2 linked regions of the Anolis sagrei genome follow. The protein of the gene in region 2 purifies or fractionates together with the protein of the main gene of each other region. This does not show direct contact. Links are inferred from orthologs where the notes say so. Each region holds a gene or a part of one and is shown on either strand. Other genes may lie near its edges.

Region 1 (10,580 bases), on a different chromosome or scaffold from region 2:
AAAAGGGGGAAGGAATAGGTAGGTACCTCTCTTTCGTAATAGTCCAGATATCTACCTCAACTTTGATAAGTTTTACTATAGGCCAAAGCAACGCGTGGCAGGGCACAGCTAGTTATATATATATATATAGATGATTTTCTTTACCAACAAAATAAGTTCAGTATGTTTTTCCACTTAAACTGAGGCTGAGATTCGGCCACTCTCATGGAAACGGAGACTTAAGAGATGCAGATCAATTTATTTCTCAGTGTCAGTCAGGCATGTAGCCGGGGGGGGGGGGGGGGGGGTCGGGGGCTTCATCCCCCCCCCCCCCCCGAAATTCTCATGGTGGTTCGCGAAAAGGCCTTACTGGTGAATTATTTAAACTGTTATGTTTATTCATATCATGATCTGATCACCATACTCAATATATCCCATATGCATGGGGGTATTGGGGTAATGATACAAAAGGTTTGCTAGGCTAGACCCTCTTTCACTCAGACTCAGCCCCCCCCCGAAACTCAGCCCCCCCGAAACCCCCCTGAAAAAAATTCAGCCCCCCCCCCCCCGAAACGAAATCCTGGCTACGGGCCTGGTGTCAGTAGCCAAGCCCTTGATTGTCTGGAAACAACACCTTTGTCTTTTGGGTCTTGCACCATTGTCTCACAGAGAACTGGACACTTAAGTTAATTAGAAAAACATCAGCATATCTACACCATTGTTTCCTCATGGACCTCCCAAAGGATGCCTATGAAATTGATTGGTTCTGTGAACTAACCAACTGCCAGCTACTGTTCTCCCACCATGGGAATGTCCTCCTGCAGGCTGTGAATCCCCAGCCAATCCATGCACGGATCCTAGTCAGCCTCTTTTTCAGCCAATCAGGGGAGGGAGTGGGAAACCAGAACTGTATAAGATGTCCTGCATTTCTCTGTATGTTTATGCTTGCTCCTTCAGAAGCAAATTGCATGTACTTCAATCCTTTCTGACCAAATTGTAATAAACCTCTGACTGGTTTACTGTGAGTTTTCCAGGCTGTATGACCACATTCTAGAAGCATTCTCTCCTGATGTTTTGCCCACATCTATGGCAGGCATCCTCTGAGGTTGAGATGTCTGTTGGAAACTAGGCAAGTGAGATTTATATTTCTGTGGAATGTTCATGGTGGGAATTGACCCTGGATTGATGAATATGATTGTTTGATTAGCTGGCTTTGAATCTATGCACAATAGTCATCTAATGTTTACATATATTGTTTTAAAGTTGTTTTAAAGTGTTACTTGCTTTAAATTCTTGTTGTTGTTTGGGGATGGAATAATGCCAATTATGTAAGACGCCGAGTCCGCTTCGGGTGAGAAGAGCGGGATATAAATGTAAATAAATAAATAAACTTTCTTAATTCTATAGTGTAGATTACATTGGTCAAACTCATGTCTTGCGAGTTTGATGAACTTTACCATCCATGGGCAAACTTCAGCCCTCTGAGTGTTTTGGACAGCAACTGCCACAATTCCTAACTGCCGGTAGGCTGTTAGGAATTGTGAGAGTTGCAGTCCAAAACACCCAGAAGACAGAAGTTTGCCCATGCCTGGTTTAGCCCTATTCCAAGGGCTTTTACCCTGCGCTTCCTCTCCCAACCTGCAGGGTCAGAGGGCCAAAGTTTGCCCATGCTTGATTCCAAACCTGTGGGCCGCAAGACCTAAAATAAGGTCCATAACTCTCGATTACTAAATATGGTTTTCTGTGGGTGAGCAGATGGCGACTATTGGGTGGTATATGTTTAACTAGAGCTGATGTGGACTGTTATGAGTCGTAATTTAATATCTGATATGCAGGACAAAGTTGAAGTACTTTGGCCATATCACGAGGAGACAGGAAAGCTTAGAGAAGACAATTATGCTGGGGAAAATTGAAGGAAAAAGGAAGAGAGGCTGACCAAGGGCAAGATGGATGAATGGCATCATTGAATGGCTGACTGGCACAACCTGGGGATCACAACCAGATACAGTGAAGACATCTGCTCTTGCGCTGTGCTACTCTGCTGCTGAGTATGCATGCCTAGTGTGGCGGGGCTCAGGTTGCATTGCAGCAGGTGGTCTGTGGTTTGCTCTTCTCCACACTCGCATGTGGTGGATTCCACTTTGTAGCCCCATTTCTTGAGGTTGGCTCTGCATCTCGTGGTGCCAGAGCGCAGTCTGTTCAGCAGTCTGTTCTTCCTCAGAGCTCGGGATGCCTGTCTGTTCTTGAGATGAAAAGCACATGTCTGTGTTTTAGATGGGTTAGGGATCAACTGGTTTTCCCTGTAATAGGCAGTAAGAGCATCTAGAGCAGGGGTCAGGAACCTTCGGCCCTCCAGGTGTGGTGGACTTCAACTCCCACAATTCCTTGAGGCTCGGCATTCGCCCCAAAGGCTTACCTTGGCCTCAAGGAATTGTGGGAGTTGAAGTCCACCACACCTGGAGGGCCGAAGGTTCCCCATGCCTGATCTAGAGCTTTGGAGAGCTTCTGTTCAACCATCTCAAAGCTCCCTGCTTGAGCGGTAATGGCACAATCATCTGCATAGATTAAACTCTCTGTCCCTTCTGGCAGTGGCTGGTCATTTGTGTAGATGTTGAACATGGATGGAGCAAGCACTCTTCCCTGAGGCAGGCCGTTCTTCTGTTTCCACCATCTGCTTCTCTGGCCCTGGAACTCAACAAAAAAGCTCCTGTTTTGTAGCAGGTTTCCTATGAAGCGGGTGAGATGGTAGTCCTTTGTGATATTATACATTTTTCTCAGGAGGAGGCGGTGGTTTACAGTATCATAAGCCACTGACAGGTCTATAAAGACAGCTCCTGTGATCTGCTGCCTTTCAAAGCTGTCGCTTACAAATAAGAGGTCTGGGTTATAACCTCGGTGCCATCTCCTGCTGTTGTAGGATGGTGGGAGCTTGCTATCATGGATGAGTGATAGTTTGTGCAGTTCAGACCAGGACAGGACAGCCTCTCCATTTCTGTCCTCTTGAGCATAGCCCCATACATGACTATGGCTGTTAAAGTCACCAATTACTACCGCCCTTTGGTGCCTGTCAAAGTTCTTGGGGGAGGAGAAGCAGAACTCTTCATTTGGGGGGTTGTACACAGAGGTGATGTTATTAAACTTTACTGTTATAACCTCGACATTGTTTTCTTCAGTATTGTGGGCACTGCTGACTTGGAGGCCTGGTTTTATAAAGACAGCGCTTCTATACTGCGCATGTGGTCTTTCTGCTACTAAGACCATTCCTGGAACTTTTGGTCATTTCTGTTGTTAATTCCTGTGTGTTTCTTGGACACACAGCACATCACATTTCTTATCTTGGCACAGTTTATAGAGCAGTTGTTCTTTGGCAGCTGACATGTTGATTGAGATTATTGTTATGGTTGGTCCTGAAAAGGTCCGTTGGTTGTTTTGCTTGCTTGTTTGCTTCTATGTCCCACCTCGGAGCTTAAGATCTTCTGGGGAGGCCCTGCTCTCGGCCCCACCTTTATCACAATTGAGGCTGGTGGGGAAGAGGGACAGAGCCTTCTCAGTGGTGGCCCCTCGCCTGTGGAATTCACTCCCCGGGGAAATTAGGTCATCAACATCCCCTCTTTCCTTCAGAAGGAAGTTGAAAACATGGATATGGGACCAGGCCTTTGGGTAATCCGACAGACTGAGAAGGTAATGACGACCAGAGTTTGGAAAGGACTATGATAATGCTGAATGGACTTACGGATTTTTAGAACTCAGTGAATGTTAGCCACTAGATTGGCTTTACTTTTAGTTGTTATTGTATTAATTGATTGTTTTTAACTATTTGTGATTACTGCTGCTATGTTGAATTGTTGGCATCGAATTGTGCTGGTTGTAAGCCGCCCTGAGTCCCCCCTAGGGGGTTGAGGGGGGGGTTGAAGTACTCGAAATAAATAAAAAATAAAATTTGCTTGCTTGTTTGCATGCTGCAAGTCGCTTCTGGTCGCTTCTGGAGTGAGAGAATCAGCTGTCTACGAGGACGTTGCCCAGGGGATGCCCGGATGTCTTGCAATCCTGCGAGAAGGCTTCTGTCATGTTCCCCCCCTCCCCCCAAGCTGAGAAATGCTGGTTTAGTGAAGACATCTGTCCTTGCGCTGTGCTACCCTGCTGCTGAGTATGCATGCCCAGTGTGGAACACATCTCACCACACTAAAACAGTGGATGTGGCTCTTAATGAGACATGCCGCATTATCATGGGGTGTCTGCTCCCTACACCACTGGAGAAATTACACTGTCTAGCCAGTATCGCACCACCTGACATCCGCTGGGAAGTGGCAGCCAATAGTGAAAGTACCAAGGCAGAGACATCTCCAGCTCATCCCTTGTTTGGGTATCAGCCAGCACGTCAACGACTTAAATCCAGACATAGTTTTCTAAGATCTACAGAGACACTCGCTGGAACACCTCAGCAAGCGAGAGTCCAAAAGTGGCAGGCTTAAACCCAGAACCTCAACCAATGGCTGATACCAAATGAGAAACTCCCCCCTGGGCACACAGAGGACTGGGCGACTTGGAAGGCGCTGAACAGACTGCGTTCTGGCACCACGAGATGCAGAGCCAACCTTCAGAAATGGGGCTACAAAGTGGAATCCTTGACATGCGAGTGCGGAGAGGAGCAAACCACTGACCACCTGCTGCAATGCAACCTGAGCCCTGCCACATGAACAATGGAGGACCTTCTTGCAGCAACACCAGAAGCACTCCAAGTGGGCAGATATTTATTTATTATTTATTTGCTTTATTTCTATACCGCATTTTTCAGCCTAATTAGGCGACTCAATGCGGTTTATACAATACGGGTTATCACAACAATAAAGCGATTAAAACACATCATATACAGCAGACAAAATCAAACAATCAACATCATATCATAACGCCTCATTAACAAATCAGAATCCGTTCTCATAATCCTTGTACCATTTCCTATGTTCAATTTTACTGTCTTCCTGTGTTCAGTTGCACTGCTTAGCCAAACACTTGTTCGTAGAGCCAGGTCTTAACCTTCCTCCGGAACGCCAGCAGCGAAGGGGCCTGTCTGATGTCTACAGGTAAGGCATTCCATAGCCGAGGGGCCACCACCGAGAAGGCCCTGTCTCTCGTCCCCGCCAACCGTGCCTGTGACGCAGGCGGGACCGAGAGCAGGGCCTCCCTGGACGATCTTAATGTCCTGGTCGGTTCATAGGTGGAGATGCGTTCGGAGAGGTAAGTAGGGCCAGAACCGTTTAAGGCTTTATAGGCTAACGCCAGCACCTTGATACTGGTCAAAGGGCATTTAATCAACTACCAAACTCACACATTTTGTATTTTCTCTGTTTGTTTGCTTTGTTCTGTCAGAAATGTAACATAATTGACTGGCTGCCCTGACATGAGAAATAAATAAGCCCCATTCCAAGGGCTTTCGCAATGTGCTTCCTCTTCCAACCTGCAGGGGGATCGGAGGGCCGAAGTTTGCCCATGCCTGGTTGAGCTTTCGCCCTGCGCTTCCTCTCCCAACCTGCAGGGGCCGCTGCTGCCTCACTTTGGCGCCGGCCTCTCCGCTCAGCGGCGGGGTCCCTCGGAAAGAGACGAGTTGGCGCCATTTTGAAGCCGCCGAAGGGGAGGTGGGAGGGGGAGTTGCGGAAGGGGAGGGAGGGAGGGGGCCCACGGCGGGCGCTGATTGGCTGCGGCGGGCGCGAGCGACGGCTGTGGTGTCCGAGCGCGGCGGGCGAGAGAGAGAGAGCGAGGGCGAGAGAGGAGGCTCTGCCTTGTCTCGGCTCCAGCCCCACCGCCACGGCTTTCCAGGTAAGGGACAGAAAAAGGCCCTTTTTTCGCCGCCTCGGGCTCCCGACGAGGAGCCTGTTTGGCGCCTCTTCTCCGTCTCCTTCCCCGCCTCACGCCGCCATCCTTCCTTCCTTCTTTCCTTCCTTCGCCTCAGCCGTTCCTCGCATATTGAACTTGCCGCCCTTTTCCTGCCTGCCTGGCTTGCGGGCTTTTCTGGGCCTCTTTCCGCCTCCCCGCCCCGTTCAGCCCAATCTAGACCTTTCTCCCGCTTCCCTCAGGGCCCCCGTCTGCACTCAGCATTCAATGCGGGTCGAAACCGAGGGGGGAATGCCCACAAAAGCGCGCAAAAGGACGCCCTCAACGTGCGCCTCCCCGAGGGCCGCAAATGGGTTCCTATGGATGTCCTCTTGTCAATCGCCTGCACTTTCTTCTGTACCGGTTTGAAACTGCGTTCCATGCTCGGTGTAGATGGCCCCTCCAATGTGGCACTAGGATACTTTCCCACCTTTTCTCCCCACTTCCAAGACTCTTCTTCTGAGCTTTGCTTTCTCCTCTTCGGCCTAGTCGTCCTTCTAGCGAGGAAGGGGCTTCCAAATGCCTCCTACTTTCTCCATTCTCCGAGGAAGTTCCTTGTCTGTGTGTCTGTGTCTCGCTAGCCGTCTCCAATATAAACAGACCCAAACTGTGCTGGTTTTAGTATAAATCTACAGCAGGCATGGGCCAACTTGGGCCCTCCAGGTGTTTTGGACTTCAGTTCCCACCATTCCTAACAACCTCAGGACCCTTAATTGGCTGAGGGAGGGGGGAGAGCCTGTTAGGAATGGTGGGAGTTGGAGTCCAAAACACCTGGTGGTCCCAAGTTGGCCCATACCTGCATTATACACCTTTAACTTGCCTGTCCTAAGATGTGTCAGTGCCTTGCTAGCCATCTCCAATATAAACAGATCCAAACTCTGCTGGTTTTAGTATAAATCTACAGAAGGCATGGGCCAACTTGGGCCCTCCATTCCAGGTGTTTTGGACTCAATTCCCACCATTCCTGACAGCCTCAGGCCCCTTAAGCGGCTGGGTGAAAGGGGGAGAAGGAGCCTGTTAGGAATGGTGGGAGTTGGAGTCCAAAACACCTGGTGGTCCCAAGTTGGTCCATGCCTGCATTATACACTTTTAACTTGCCTGTCCTAAGATGTGCCAATGTCTCGCTAGCCATCTCCAATATAAACAGATCCAAACTGTGCTGGTTTTACTATAAATCTACAGCAGGCATGGGTCAACTTGGGCCCTCCAAGTGTTTTGGACTTCAATTCCCACCATCCTTAACAGCCTCAGGCCCCTTAAGCGGCTGGGGGAAAGGGGGAGAAGGAACCTGTTAGGAATGGTGGGAGTTGGAGTCCAAAACACCTGGTGGTCCCAAGTTGGCCCATGCCTGCATTATACACTTTTAACTTGCCTGTCCTAAGATGTGTCAATGTCTCGCTAGCCATCTCCAATATAAACAGATCTAAACTGTGCTGGTTTTAGTATAAATCTACAGCAGGCATGGGTCAACTTGGGCCCTCCAAGTGTTTTGGACTTCAATTCCCACCATCCCTAACAGCCTCAGGCCCCTTAAGCGGCTGGGGGAAAGGGGGAGAAGGAGCCTGTTAGGAATGGTGGGAGTTGGAGTCCAAAACACCTGGTGGTCCCAAGTTGGCCCATGCCTGCATTATACACTTTCAACTTGCCTATCCTAAAATGTGTCAATGTCTCGCTAGCCATCTCCTATAGGTGTGTTGCTTTTAGTATGTATTCTATCCTGGGAAATTGATGCATCTACATTGTAAAGTTAATTCAGTTTGACACCTCCTTTAGCTTCCATGGGCCAGTTCTGTAGAATTATAGAGGTTCCAAGTTGGTCCATGCCTGCATTATACACTCTTAAAGTGCCTGTCCTAAGATGTGTCTATGTCTCACTAGCCATCTCCAATAGGTGTGCTGGTTTTAGTATGTATTCTACCCCGGGGAATCGATGCATCTACATTGTAAAGTTAATCCAGTTTGACACCTTCTTTAGCTTCCATGGGTCAGTTCTATGGAATTATGGGAAGGTCTTTAGCCTTTTCTGCCAAAGTGGGCTGGTGCCATGCCAAACTGCAACTCCCAGGATTCCCTAGCATTGGGCTATGGCAGTTGAAGAGGTGTCAAACAATTCTGATTCTTACCTGTCCTAAGATGTGCCTTCCTCCAATCTCTGAGGCAGTTCTTTGCCTGTGTGTATATGTCTTGCTCATGGTTTCCAGTATAGCAGATCCAAACTCTGTTGGTTTTAGTGTAGATCCTACCCTGGGAAATCAATGCATCTACATTGTAAAGTTAATCCAGTTTGACACCCTCTTTAGCTTCCATGGGTCAGTTCTATGGAATTATGGGAAGGTCTTTAGACTTTTGTGCCAAAGGGGGCTGGTGCCATGCCAAACTACAATTCTCAGGATTCCCTAGCATTGGCCCATGGCAGTGAAAGAGGTGCCAAACAATTCTAATTCTTACCTGTCCTAAAATGTTTCTTCCTCCAATCTCCAAAGATGTTCCCTGCCTGTGTGTATATGTCTCACTCAAGGTTTCCAATATAGCAGATCCAAACTCTGTTGGTTTTAGTATAGATCCTACCCTGGGAAATCGATGCATCTATATTGTAAAGTTAATCCAGTTTGACAGCCCCTTTAGCTTCCATGGGTCAATTCTATAGAATTATGGGAAGGTCTTTAGCCTCTTCTGCCAAAGGGGGCTAGTGCCATCCCAACCTATAACTCCCAAGATTTCCTAGCAATGGGCCATGGCAGTTAAAGAGGTGTCAAACAATTCTAATTCTTACCTGTCCTAAGATGTGCCTTTCTCCAATCTCTGAGGCAGTTCTTTGCCTGTGTGTATATGTCTCGCTCACTGTTTCCTATATAGCAGATCCAAACTCAGCTGGTTTTTGTATAGATCTACATCAGGTATGAGCAAACTTCAGCCCTCCAGGTATTTTGGACTTTAATTCCCACCATTCCTAACAGCCTCAGGCCCCTTAATCGGCTGAGCGGGAAAAAGGAGTAGCCTGAGGTTATTAGGAATGGTGGGAATTGGAGTCCAAAGCACCTGGAGGTCCCAAGTTGGTCCATGCCTGCATTATACACTCTTAACTTGCCTGTCCTAAAATGTGTCAATGTCTCGCTAGCCATCTCCTATAGGTGTGCTGGTTTTAGTATGTATTCTAACCCGAGAAATCGATGCATCTACATTGTAAAGTTAATCCAGTTTGACACTCACTTTAGCTTCCATGGGTCAGTTCTACGGAATTATGCAAAGGTCTTTAGCCTTTTGTGCCAAAGGGGGCTAGTGCCATGCCAACTTATAACTCCCAAGATTTCCTAGCAATGGGCAATGGCAGTTAAAGAGGTGTCAAACAATTCTAATTCTTACCTGTCCTAAGATGTGCCTTCCTCCAACCTCTGAGGCAGTTCTTTGCCTGTGTGTATATGTCTCGCTCACTGTTTCCAATATAGCAGATCCAAACTGCACTGGTTTTAGTATAGATCTATACCAGGTATAAGCAAACTTCAGTCCTCCAGGTGCCTTGGACTTTAATTCCCACTATTCCTACAAGCCTCAGGCCCTTAAGCGCCTGAGGGGGAAAAGAAGGAGCCTGAGGCTGTTACGAATGGTGGGAGTTGGAGTCCAAAACACCTGGAGGTCCCAGGTTGGTCCATGCCTGCATTATACACTCTTAACGTGCCTGTCGTAAGATGTGTCTATGTCTCACTACCCATCTCCAATAGATGTGCTGGTTTTAATATGTATTCTATCCTGAGAAATCAATGCATCTACATTGTAAAGTTAATCCAGTTTGACACCCCCTTTAGCTTCCATGGGTCAGTTCTATGGAATTATGGGAAGGTCTTTAGCCTTTTCTGCCAAAGGGGGCTGGTGACATGCCAAACTACAACTCCCAGGATTCCCTAGCATTGGGCTATAGCAGTTAAAGAGGTGCCAAACAATTCTGATTCTTACCTGTCTAAAATATTCCTTCAATCTCTGAGGACGTTCTCTGCCTGTGTGTATATGTTTCGCTCACTGTTTCCAATATAGCAGATCCAAACTGCACTGGTTTTAGTATAGATCTACACCAGGTATTTGCAAACTTCAGCCCTCCAGGTGTTTTGGACTTCAACTCCCACAATTCCTAACAGCCTAACTCCCACAATTACTAACAGGTTGTGGGATTTGAAGTCCAAAACACCCAGAGGGCTGAAGTTTGCCCATACCTGATCTACACTAAAATGAATGCATCTGCATTGTAAAATCAATACAGTGGTGACACTTTATTGGTTGCTGCAGAATTAGGGAACTGCAGCTTTAGTTTTCTCTGCACTAAAGTGCTGCTGCCTCATCAAACTCTAATAATAATAATAAACTTTATTTATATTCCGCCTTATCTCCCCGAGGGGACTCAGAGCGGATTCCAACAAACAATAAAGACAAACATTAAATGCCTCAGTGCAACGATAGATACAAACATAATAGCACAAAATCACCCCATTTATGATAGCAACTGTAACTCCATTGCATGGAGCCAAGACAGCTAAATTGGCATCAAACAGCATTGATTCTACCATGCTGCATGCACCCTCAAAATCTTCATTTGACTGCTCTAATGCCTTTCTGCAGTGTTGATCTTGTTAATCCGTCTCCAATATAATACATCCAAACTGTGCTGGTTTTAATATACAGATCAGGGGTACGTCTACACTGTGAAGGAATGCAGTTTGACACTGCCTTAATTTCCATGGCTC
Region 2 (10,449 bases):
ATAATAATAATAATAATAATAATAGTGCATAAACACTTTTGAGTTTCCTTGTGAAGAGAAAAGCGGAGTATAAATAAACATAATAATAATGTATTCTAATACTTGTAATAAATACATAAATAAAGATAATAATAATAATAATAATAGGTGCATAAACACTTTTGAGTCTCCTTGTGGAGAGAAAAGCGGAGTATACATAAACATAATAATAATAATGCATTTGAATACTAAAAATAAATACATAAACACACATAAAAATACATTCTAATATGAATAATCAATACATAGCCACTTTGAGTCTCCTTGTGAAGAGAAAAAGCAGGATATAAATAAACATAAACATAAACATAATAATAATAATAAAAGGTGCATAAACACTTTTGAGTCTCCTTGTGGAGAGAAAAGCGGAGTATAAATAAACGTAATAATAATGTATTCTAATACTAGTAATAAATACATAAATAAACATAATAAACATAATAATAATAAGTGGATAAACACTTTTGAGTCTCCTTGTGGAGAAAAGCAGAGTATACATAAACATAAAAATAATAACGTATTCTAATACTAGTAATAAATACATAAATACACATCATCATCATCATCATCATCATCATCATAATAGGTGTATAAATACTTTGGAGTCTCCTTGTGGAGAGAAAAGCGTATACATAAACATAATAATAATAATAATAATAATAGTAATAATAGTAATAATAATGCATTCTAACACTAGTAATGAATACATAAATAAGCAACCATAATAGATATTGATAGTGCTAGTTCTGTTCCTGCTCTCACCAGGGGGAGTCCCAGGCCGGGGCGGGCCCAGTTGACGGAGGCCAGCTTGTGGGTCAGGGCTGCGGCCACGGGGCTGACCAGGTTGGCGGGCGGGAAGAGGGGTCCCTGGCAACCGGGGCACTGGAAGCCGGCCGGGGCCGTGTTCTTCGGCAGGTGGGCCACCATCTCGTTCAGGCACGACCAGTGGAAGAGGTCTGCAGGAGGGAGAGGAAGAAGAGGGACCCCCGTGAGGAAAGAGCCAAAGGACATGGACCCACGGAAAGGCGGCCCAGCTCGCCCTCCTCACCCCAAAGGGGACTCAGAGCGGCTTACAAGGGAAAAGTAAATACAATGTTTTATATTATTACCAGAGCACAATATTAATATTATATATTACACGAGCTGTACCCGCCACACTTTGCTGTGGCCAATCTTCCCTCCCTCTTTCTCTCCTTCCTTCGCTCCCTCCTTTCTTCCTTCTTCTCCTTTCCTTTCCTTCTCTCCTTCCTTCCTTCTCTACCTCTTTCCTTCCTTTGCTTTTTGCTTCCATCCTTCCTTCTCTTTCTTTCTCTCCAGCTTTCTCGCCTTCTTTCCCTCCTTCCTTCGCTCCCTCGTTCCTTCCTTCCTTTCTCTCCTTCCTTCCTTTTCTAGCTTTCTTTCCTTCCCCCTTTTCTTATCCTTCCCCTTTCTCTCCTTTCTTCCTTCGTTCCCTCTTTCCTTCCTTCCTTCGCTCTTTGCTTTCATCCTTCCTTCTCTTTCTTTCCTTCTCTCCTGCTTTCTCTTCTTTTTTCCCTCCTTCCTTGGCTCCCTCTTTCCTTCCTTTTTTTCCCTTTCTTTTTCTCCTTCCTTCACTCCCTCTTTCCTTCCTTTTTTTTCTTTCCCTCCTTCCTTCTCTACCTCTTTCCTGCTTTCCTTCTCTCTTTCCTTTCTTTCCCTCCCTCTTTCTCTTCTTTTTTTCTTTCCTTCCTTTTCTAGCTTTCTTTCCTTCCCCTTTCTCTCCTTTCTTCCTTCTGTCTCTTTCCTTCCCTCCTTCGCTCTTTGCTTTCATCCTTCCTTCTCTCTTTCTTTCCTTCTCTCCCGCTTTCTCTTCTTTCCCTCCTTCCTTCGCTCTCTCTCTTTCCTTCCTTTTTTTCTTTCTTTCCCTCCTTCCTTCTCTACATCTTTCCTTCTTTCCTTCTCTCTTTCCTTCTTTCTTTCCCTCCCTCTTTCTCTTCTTTCTTTCTCTCCTTCCTTCCCTCCCTCTTCCCTTTTTTCTGTACTGTCATTTAGTTTTTTGGGGTTTTAAAGTCCTTTTCCACTGACTGATGGTCACTCGTTGGTCTCTTAGGGATATAGTGTCCAAATTTTGTGTCCATTCATCCAGTGGTTTTTGAGTTATGTCAATCCCACAAACGAACACTGCATTTTTATTTATATAGATTGTACTATAACAATATACTGTAATATTATTAGTAATATTACATTCAATATAAAATATATAATCATAATATCATATTATTAGTAGTAGTAGTACTATATTGTATTACATTATAATATTATCAATATTATAAGTATAAACAATATATTATTTTCCCACAAACAAACATTGCATTTTTATTTATATAGATAGAATACTATAACAATATAGTGTAATATTATTAAGAATATTCCATTTAATATAAAATATATAATTATAATATATTATTAGTAGTAGTACTATATTGTATTGCATTATAATATTATCAACATTATATTATATTATAAGCACAGTGCAGGAGTCAAGATGGCCCCTCTCTTTGGTTCTGGAGGGGGGAGGCTCCCAACTGATGACACCCGGACCTTTGGGGTGACCCCCCCCCCCCCGGACCGGACCTAGCTCAAGCACAGTGGCACGAAACGCAAGAGCTGACCATAGCAGACGAGGCGGACGGTCTCTTTGGTGGAGAGAAGGGTGTTGCAGAGCCGACAGTTGGGGTTGTAGTCGCTATCCTGGAGCCACTGCAAGTAAGACTGGACAATGCACTGCAACGCAAGGGAGGGAGGAAAAAGAAAAGCACCATTATAATAATAATAATAATTATAATTATCATCATCATCATCATCATCATCATCATATAATCATAAGCCTCTATTACACTGTTCAACAGAGAAAAAGTTTTGGGCCTGAAAATAGTTGTTCTTATATGATTTTGGGGTGCTGAAAACAAAAATGACATTTAAAAATGTATATTGGCTCTAGTTTTTATGAAATAAGCAATCACGTGACCACGTATGGTTGAAAAAATGCATGTTGCGACTTACACTATGGAAGATTCTAGAATACTCTAGAAAGTTTGATGACACAGTATGAGTGCCGTGTGCAAAAGCCAGAAAGCCCTCTATAAGGCCAGACTTTTGAACAGTGAGGGTCAGTCAGTTGAAGACTGAGACAGTATTGTTAAACATCGTTTTCCATTGTTCTTTTCACTGTCGTTATGCCTCGCATGTGTGTAAATAAAGCCCTATGGAAAAAAGACATCAAGGCCAATGGACTCCGTCAATGCTGTCAGACTCCTGCTGGAGCATTGCAAGAGGGAATCCTCTCCTTGACTACAAAAGAAAAGTCAAGAGAAGCAAACAGGATAGAAACTAAAGTCACGATTAAAGCGACATTTCAACTTTCAGACTTTTCAACTGCATTAGGCCTACTAATAGAGTTCCTTGCTGCACAAACATAAACAATAGACTAATTAAATAAATATTTCTCATGTATAAACTATTGGCAATATAATTGGACTAAAATTTAGTAAACATTCACGTTTTATATACATGCAGTAAGGTTAGGCGCAGTATCATAATATTAACGAATTACCTATTGAGGAGAAAATTGAAATAGCTGTTGCATAAAAACCAGAGCCAATGAACACATTTAATTATTATATTTGAATTCAGCATGTTAAATTAATTAAGAAACGGCACATTTCGTTTCCTTAACTAAGAAAAACTGAAAATTTGTAGAACAGTGTTATTAGAGGCATTCCCCTTGGTGCACTCAGCAGCAGCAACAACAGCAACTTTACCTTGTTGTGATTGGCGACAATGCAGTGCTCGCAGACGTTGACGCGGTGCTCGAAGCAGAAGAGGTTGGTCACCTTCCGCTTGGGGCATTTGCACAGCCCCATGGCAGAGCCTGCAGCAGGAGAAAGAAAAAAGGAATCAATTATATCTATATATATATATACATACATACATATATATACATACACACACACATCCGTCAGTGTTCTGTGTATTTTGATATGTGCATTTTGTAGGAATACATTTTAATATTTGCATTTTAATATAATAATATTTTTAGCTATTGAGCCATAAGGGGTAATAGCTATAATTATTCATATAATAATAATAATATGCACGTGTGAATTTAAGCCAAAGAGCCGGTGTTGTCCGTACATACTATCAAAGTCATGTGGCCACTGGCATGACTGTATGGACTGCTGTTACCTTCCTGCCGGAGCGGAACCTACTGTTCTACTCGCATTTGCATGTTTTCAAACTGCTAGGTTGGCAGAAGCTGGGGCTAACAGCAGGAGCTCACCACACTACCCGGATTTGAACCACTGACCTTTTGGTCAGCAAGTTCAGCAGATCTATATAGGAGTAACATCAATAATATATACATTAATATATATTATATATTATATATACATATTAACAACAATAATATACTAATACTCTCTGATGAGCCACTGCCATGATTCCACATCAAGGGACTATTGGCATTTAAAGCGGTATCAACCCGCATTAACTCCCCGGTGTGTCTTATTTTCCCAGGCCTCCCCCTCCTCACCTTCCTCTTCAGCCTCCTTCCGCCTTCTGCCACGTCTCTTCCGGGAAAGTCGCGCGCCGATGGCGTCACAACCCAGCCGTCGCTTCAGGAAAAAAGGAAACTAAGGAGGTCTAGTCTCGCGAGATGTCGAGACCTCCCGCGGGATTCAGTCTGCCTCTCCTAAAATGGCGCCGGGTGGTTTGTGTATTAGTAGCTGAATGGGAAAAGAGAAGCGACAACCAACTCTCGCGGGATGTTGAGACTTCTCGCGGGATTTGGTTTGCCTCTCTTAAAATGGCGTCGGGTGGTTTGTGCATTAGTAGCTGAATGGGAAAAAAGAAGCGACAACCAACCCAACTCTCGCGGGATGTGGGGACTTCTCGCGGGATTTGGTTTGCCTCTCCTAAAATGGCGCCGGGTAGTTTGTGTATTAGTAGCTTAAATGGGAAAAGAGAAGCGACATCCAACTCTCGCGGGATGGTTAGACTTCTCACGGGATTTGGTTTGCCTCTCCTAAAATGGCGCCGGGTGTTTTTTGTATTAAAAGAGAAGCGACATCCAACTCTCGCGGGATGTGGAGACTTCTCGCGGGATTTGGTTTGCCTCTCCAAAAATGGCGCCGGGTGTTTTTTTTGTATTAAAAGAGAAGCGACGACCAACTCTCGCGGGATGTGGAGACTTCTCGCGGGATTTGGTTTGCCTCTCCTAAAATGGCGTCGGGTGTTTTTTGTATTAAAAGGGAAGCGACGGCCAACTCTCGCGGGATGCTGAGATTTCTCGCGGGATTTGGTTTGCCTCTCCTAAAATGGCGCCGGCTCTGACTATTGTTTTCCTTCTCTTCCACTGTGGTGACGTCACTTCCTGCGTGGAGGTGGCGGGCGATTTCAAAGCCGGAAGAGAGAAGGAAGGAAGGAAGGAAAGCAGGAGGCGATGGCGGGAGGAGGCCGCGGCCTGCCAAGGCGGGCTCGCTCCGCAGGAGAGGCCCGGGCAGGTAGGCCGCAAGCCTGGGAAACAGTATTATCCACTTGGGCCTTGTCTCCAGGTGTTTTGGACTACAAATCCCACAATTCCTCACAGTCTCAGGCCCTGAAAGGGCCTGAGGCTGTGAGGAATTGTGAGATTTGTAGTCCAAAACACCTGGAGACAAGGCCCAAGTTGATCCATGGCTACTCCAGCAGCACTCCGTCCTGACATTTCTCCCACATCTCAGAAGGTTGTGGTTGTTGGCCACCCTGATGAGCACCAAATGGCCTTGCAGCTTCAAAGCCTGGCTGCTTCCTGCCTGAGGGACATCCTAGATATATTTATACCTGTGGAATGATGTCCAGGGTAGGAGAAAGAACTCTTGTCTGCTGGAGGCAAGTCTGAATGTTGTCGTTGGCCAGCTTGATGAGCACTGAATGGCCTTGCAGCTTCAAAGCCTGGCTGCTTCCTGCCATGAGGGAATCATAGATAGGTTTATACCTGTGGAATGATGTCCATGGTGGGAGAAAGAACTCTTGGCTGCTGGAGGCAAGTCTGAATATTGTCATTGGCCAGCTTGATTAACATCGAATGGACTTGCAGCTTCAAAGCCTGGCTGCTTCCTGCCTGAGGGAATCCTAGATATATTTATACCTGTGGAATGATACCCAGGGTGGGAGAAAGAACTCTTGTGTGCTGGAGGCAAGTGTGAATGTTGTCGTTGGCCAGCTTGATTAGCACTAAATGGCCTTGCAGCTTCAAAGCCTGGCTGCTTCCTGCCTTGGAGGGTGGAGGGGGGGGTCCCATTTTCCAGCCTGGAGTTCCCCTGCTGTCTAGTCTTAACCCTCTTCCTTTTTGTTTCAGGCGTCGTTTCCTCTCCTCCAAGGCGAAGGTCCGAACGCACGGCAGCGGCTTCCACGGCGGCTCTGTCTTTATCCGAAAGGAAGGCATGTTTGCGGCCCGGCGGGGCAGACGTCGGTTCGGTGCGTAATGTAAATACCTGTGGAATCTTCAAGCTGGAAGGGACCCCCATCCAGTCCAACCATCTAAGATAGACATCCTAGAGTTTTGGGGAGGCTTCTAAGAGAGATATACATAGATAGATATAGGATTCTAAAGTTGGAAGGGGCACCCAAGGGCCATCCAGTCCAACCCTCTAAGAAATAGGTAGATACATACATACATACATACATACATGGATTGATTGATTGATTCCTAGTGTGGGAAGGGACCCCAAAGGCTATCTAAGAAATAGATAAATAGATACATAGATAGATAGATAGATAGATAGATAGATAGAGATTCATTGGATGGATGAATATGATATAGATTAGATAGATGGACAGACATAATAATAATAATAATAATATAATAATAATAATAAGATAGAGATACATTGGATGGATAGATATGGTATAGATTAGATAGACATAATAATAATAATAATAATAATAAGCTAGAGATTCATTGGATGGATAGATATGATATAGATTAGATAGATAGACATAATAATAATAATGGTAGAGATTCATTGGATGGATAGATATGGTATAGATTAGATAGACATAATAATAATAATAATAATAATAATAATAATAATAATAATAATAATAGAGATTCATTGGATGGATAGATAAGATATAGATTATATAGACAGACATAATAATAATAATAAGGTAGGTAGAGATTCATTGGATGGATAAATATAATATAGATGAGATAGATAGACAGAAATAATAATAATAATATAATAATAATAAGATAGAGATTCATTGGATGGATAGATAAGATATAGATTAGATAGATAGACATAATAATAATAATATAGATAGAGATTCATTGGATGGATAGATATGGTATAGATTAGATAGACATAATAATAATAATAATAATAATAATAAATGGATAGAGATAATATAGATTAGATAGATAGACATAATAATAATCTTTATTTAATACCCCACCACCATCTCCCCAATGGGGACTCGGGGCGGCTTACATGAGGCCAAGCCCAACAGCATATTACAATAAAATAAAACCAAAACACAATAAAATATATACAACGTATGAGTTTAAAAAAAAGCAATAAAGCAAAATAATACACAATAAAATAAAATAACAATGAGCGGACCGCATGTGCAAGACATGGATTGATAGGTGGAGAAACTGAAAGGTAGATAGATAAAATCCTAGTTGGAAGGGACCCCCAAAGGCCATCCAGTCCAACCCTCTAGGACATAGATAGATAGATAGATAGAGATATTGTTTCATTATCCAGAATACATAGCAGCTCACTTTGGAGTTTTTGCAATTTCCCGGCAGCCGCCTGCACCGCTCCAGGCGAAGAAGCCCATCATCACTCTGAGGAAGATTGTGCCGCGATCGAACCGGCAGGTCAGTCAGGCTTTATCAATTTGGCTTTATCAATTCCTATCATCTTTATCTATTATCTCTACCTGTCAATCTGTCCTATCTATCATCTCCACCTGTCAATTATCTATATCTATCTATCGCTCTATCTGTCTGTCTCATTTTGGCCTTTCTTTTTTTGCTCCAGGTCAAAGAGACGGCCATCACGCCCCGACGGAGCCCAAGGGTCAGTCATTATTATCAGAATTAGTATTATTATTGCTATTAATGTTTATTTCTACCTTGCTTTTTCTCTCCACGTAAGAGACTCAAAGCAACCATGTGTTATTTTTAGTATTAGATATTATTATGATATTTATTTATTTATCCCCTGCTTTTTCTCTCCACAAATGAGACTCAAAGCAGCTATGCATCTATTATCAGCATTACAATGTATTATTATTATTATTATTATATTACTATTGGTATAATAAATATTATGTTTATTTATAGTCAAACCCACTATGTACACTATATACCAATAATAATAATAATAATAATAATAATAATAGTAATAGTAGTAATAATAATAATAGGGTTGTTGTGGGTTTTCTGGGCTGTCTGGCCATGTTCCAGAAGCATTCTCTCCTGACGTTTCACCCACATCTATGGCAGGTATCCTCAGAGTTTGTGAGGTCTGTTGGAAACTAGGAAAATTTGTTGTTGTTATGTTTATGTATACTCCACAAGGAGATTCAAAGTGTCTATGTATCTATTATTTGTATGAGAATGCATCATTATTGTTATTGTTGTAATTATTTTTATTATTATGTCTATTCCACAAGGAGACTCAAAGTGTCTATGTATTTATTATTTGTATGAGAATGCATTATTATTATTATTATTATTATCATCATCATCATCATCATCATTATATATTCCACAAGGAGACTCAAAGCGTCTATCTATTATTTGTATGAGGATGCATTATTATTATTATTATTGTAATTGTTATTATTATTATTATATACTCCACAAGGAGATACAAAGTGTCTCTGTATCTATTATTTGTATGAGAATGCATTATTATTATTATTATTATTATTATTATGTATATTCCACAAGGAGACTCATAGCGTCTATGTATCTATTATTTGTATGAGGATGCATTATTATTATTATTATTGTAATTGTTATTATTATTATTATATACTCCACAAGGAGATACAAAGTGTCTCTGTATCTATTATTTCTATGAGAATGCGTTATTATTATTATTATTATTATTATTATTATGTATATTCCACAAGGAGACTCAGTCTATGTATCTATTATTTCTATGAGAATGCATCATTATTATTATTATTATTATTATTATTATGTATATTCCACAAGGAGACTCAAAGCGTCTATGTATCTATTATTTGTATGAGGATGCATTATTATTATTATTGTAATTGTTATTATTATTATTATATACTCCACAAGGAGATACAAAGTGTCTCTGTATCTATTATTTCTATGAGAATGCGTTATTATTATTATTATTATTATTATTATTATTATGTATATTCCACAAGGAGACTCAAAGCGTCTATGTATCTATTATTTCTATGAGAATGCATCATCATTATTATTATTATTATTATTATTATTATTATTATTATGTATATTATTATGTATATTATGTATATTCGACAAGGAGACTCAAAGCATCTATGTATCTATTATTTCTATGAGAATGCGTTATTATTATTATTATTATTATTATTATTATTATTATTATTATGTATATTCCACAAGGAGACTCAAAGCGTCTATGTATCTATTATTTCTATGAGAATGCATCATCATTATTATTATTATTATTATTATTATTATTATTATTATGTATATTATTATGTATATTATGTATATTCGACAAGGAGACTCAAAGCATCTATGTATCTATTATTTCTATGAGAATGCGTTATTATTATTATTATTATTATTATGTATATTCTACAAGGAGACTCAAAGTGTATCTGTATTTGTATAATAATGCATTATTATTATTATTATGTATATTCCACAAGGAGACTCAAAGTGTCTATGTATCATTTGTATGAGAATGCATCATCATTATTATTATTATTATTATTATTATTATTATTATTATGTCTATTCCACAAGGAGACTCGAAGTGTCTGTATCTATTATTTGTATGAGAATGCATTACTGTTGTTGTTTTGTTATTATTATTATTATTATTATTATTATTATGTTTATTTCACAAGGAGACTCAAAGCGCCTGTATTACTTGTATGAGAATGCATTACTGTTGTTGTTGTTTTTGTTGTTGTTGTTATGTTTATGTTTATTCCACGAGGAGACTCAAAGCAGCTATGTATCTATTCTTTGTATGAGAATGCATTATTATTACTGTTGTTGTTCCTCTGTCAGGTCCCTGTACAGGAAGAGAAGGAGAATGTCCCAGAGGCGGGGAGTCCGCCCGCCAAGGAGCCTGCCAAGGCAGACAGTGCGGAGAAGAAGAAGAAGAAGGTCCTCTCGCCAATTGAGGGCAATAATGC

The links. The genes of interacting proteins can lie anywhere in the genome.
Region 1: the proteins of CDCA5 (region 2) and PDS5B purify together in Homo sapiens (affinity purification with western blotting; 4 studies listed by BioGRID and IntAct, with this or other methods). This does not show direct contact. The link is inferred for Anolis sagrei from reciprocal best matches to the Homo sapiens genes CDCA5 and PDS5B.

What each region holds. Positions count from the first base shown.
Region 1 is NC_090023.1:33,551,481-33,562,060, forward strand, and holds the start of PDS5B (sister chromatid cohesion protein PDS5 homolog B), read left to right. Parts: upstream 1-5,678; 5' UTR 5,679-5,793; intron 5,794-10,580. UniProt on the Homo sapiens protein: Regulator of sister chromatid cohesion in mitosis which may stabilize cohesin complex association with chromatin. May couple sister chromatid cohesion during mitosis to DNA replication.
Region 2 is NC_090032.1:22,244,232-22,254,680, reverse strand, and holds the start of CDCA5 (sororin), read left to right. Parts: upstream 1-5,447; 5' UTR 5,448-5,497; coding exon 5,498-5,558; intron 5,559-6,394; coding exon 6,395-6,513; intron 6,514-7,852; coding exon 7,853-7,924; intron 7,925-8,087; coding exon 8,088-8,126; intron 8,127-10,321; coding exon 10,322-10,449. Other genes in the region: ZFPL1 (zinc finger protein-like 1), read right to left, coding at 802-995, 2,670-2,781, 3,819-3,920. UniProt on the Homo sapiens protein: Regulator of sister chromatid cohesion in mitosis stabilizing cohesin complex association with chromatin. May antagonize the action of WAPL which stimulates cohesin dissociation from chromatin.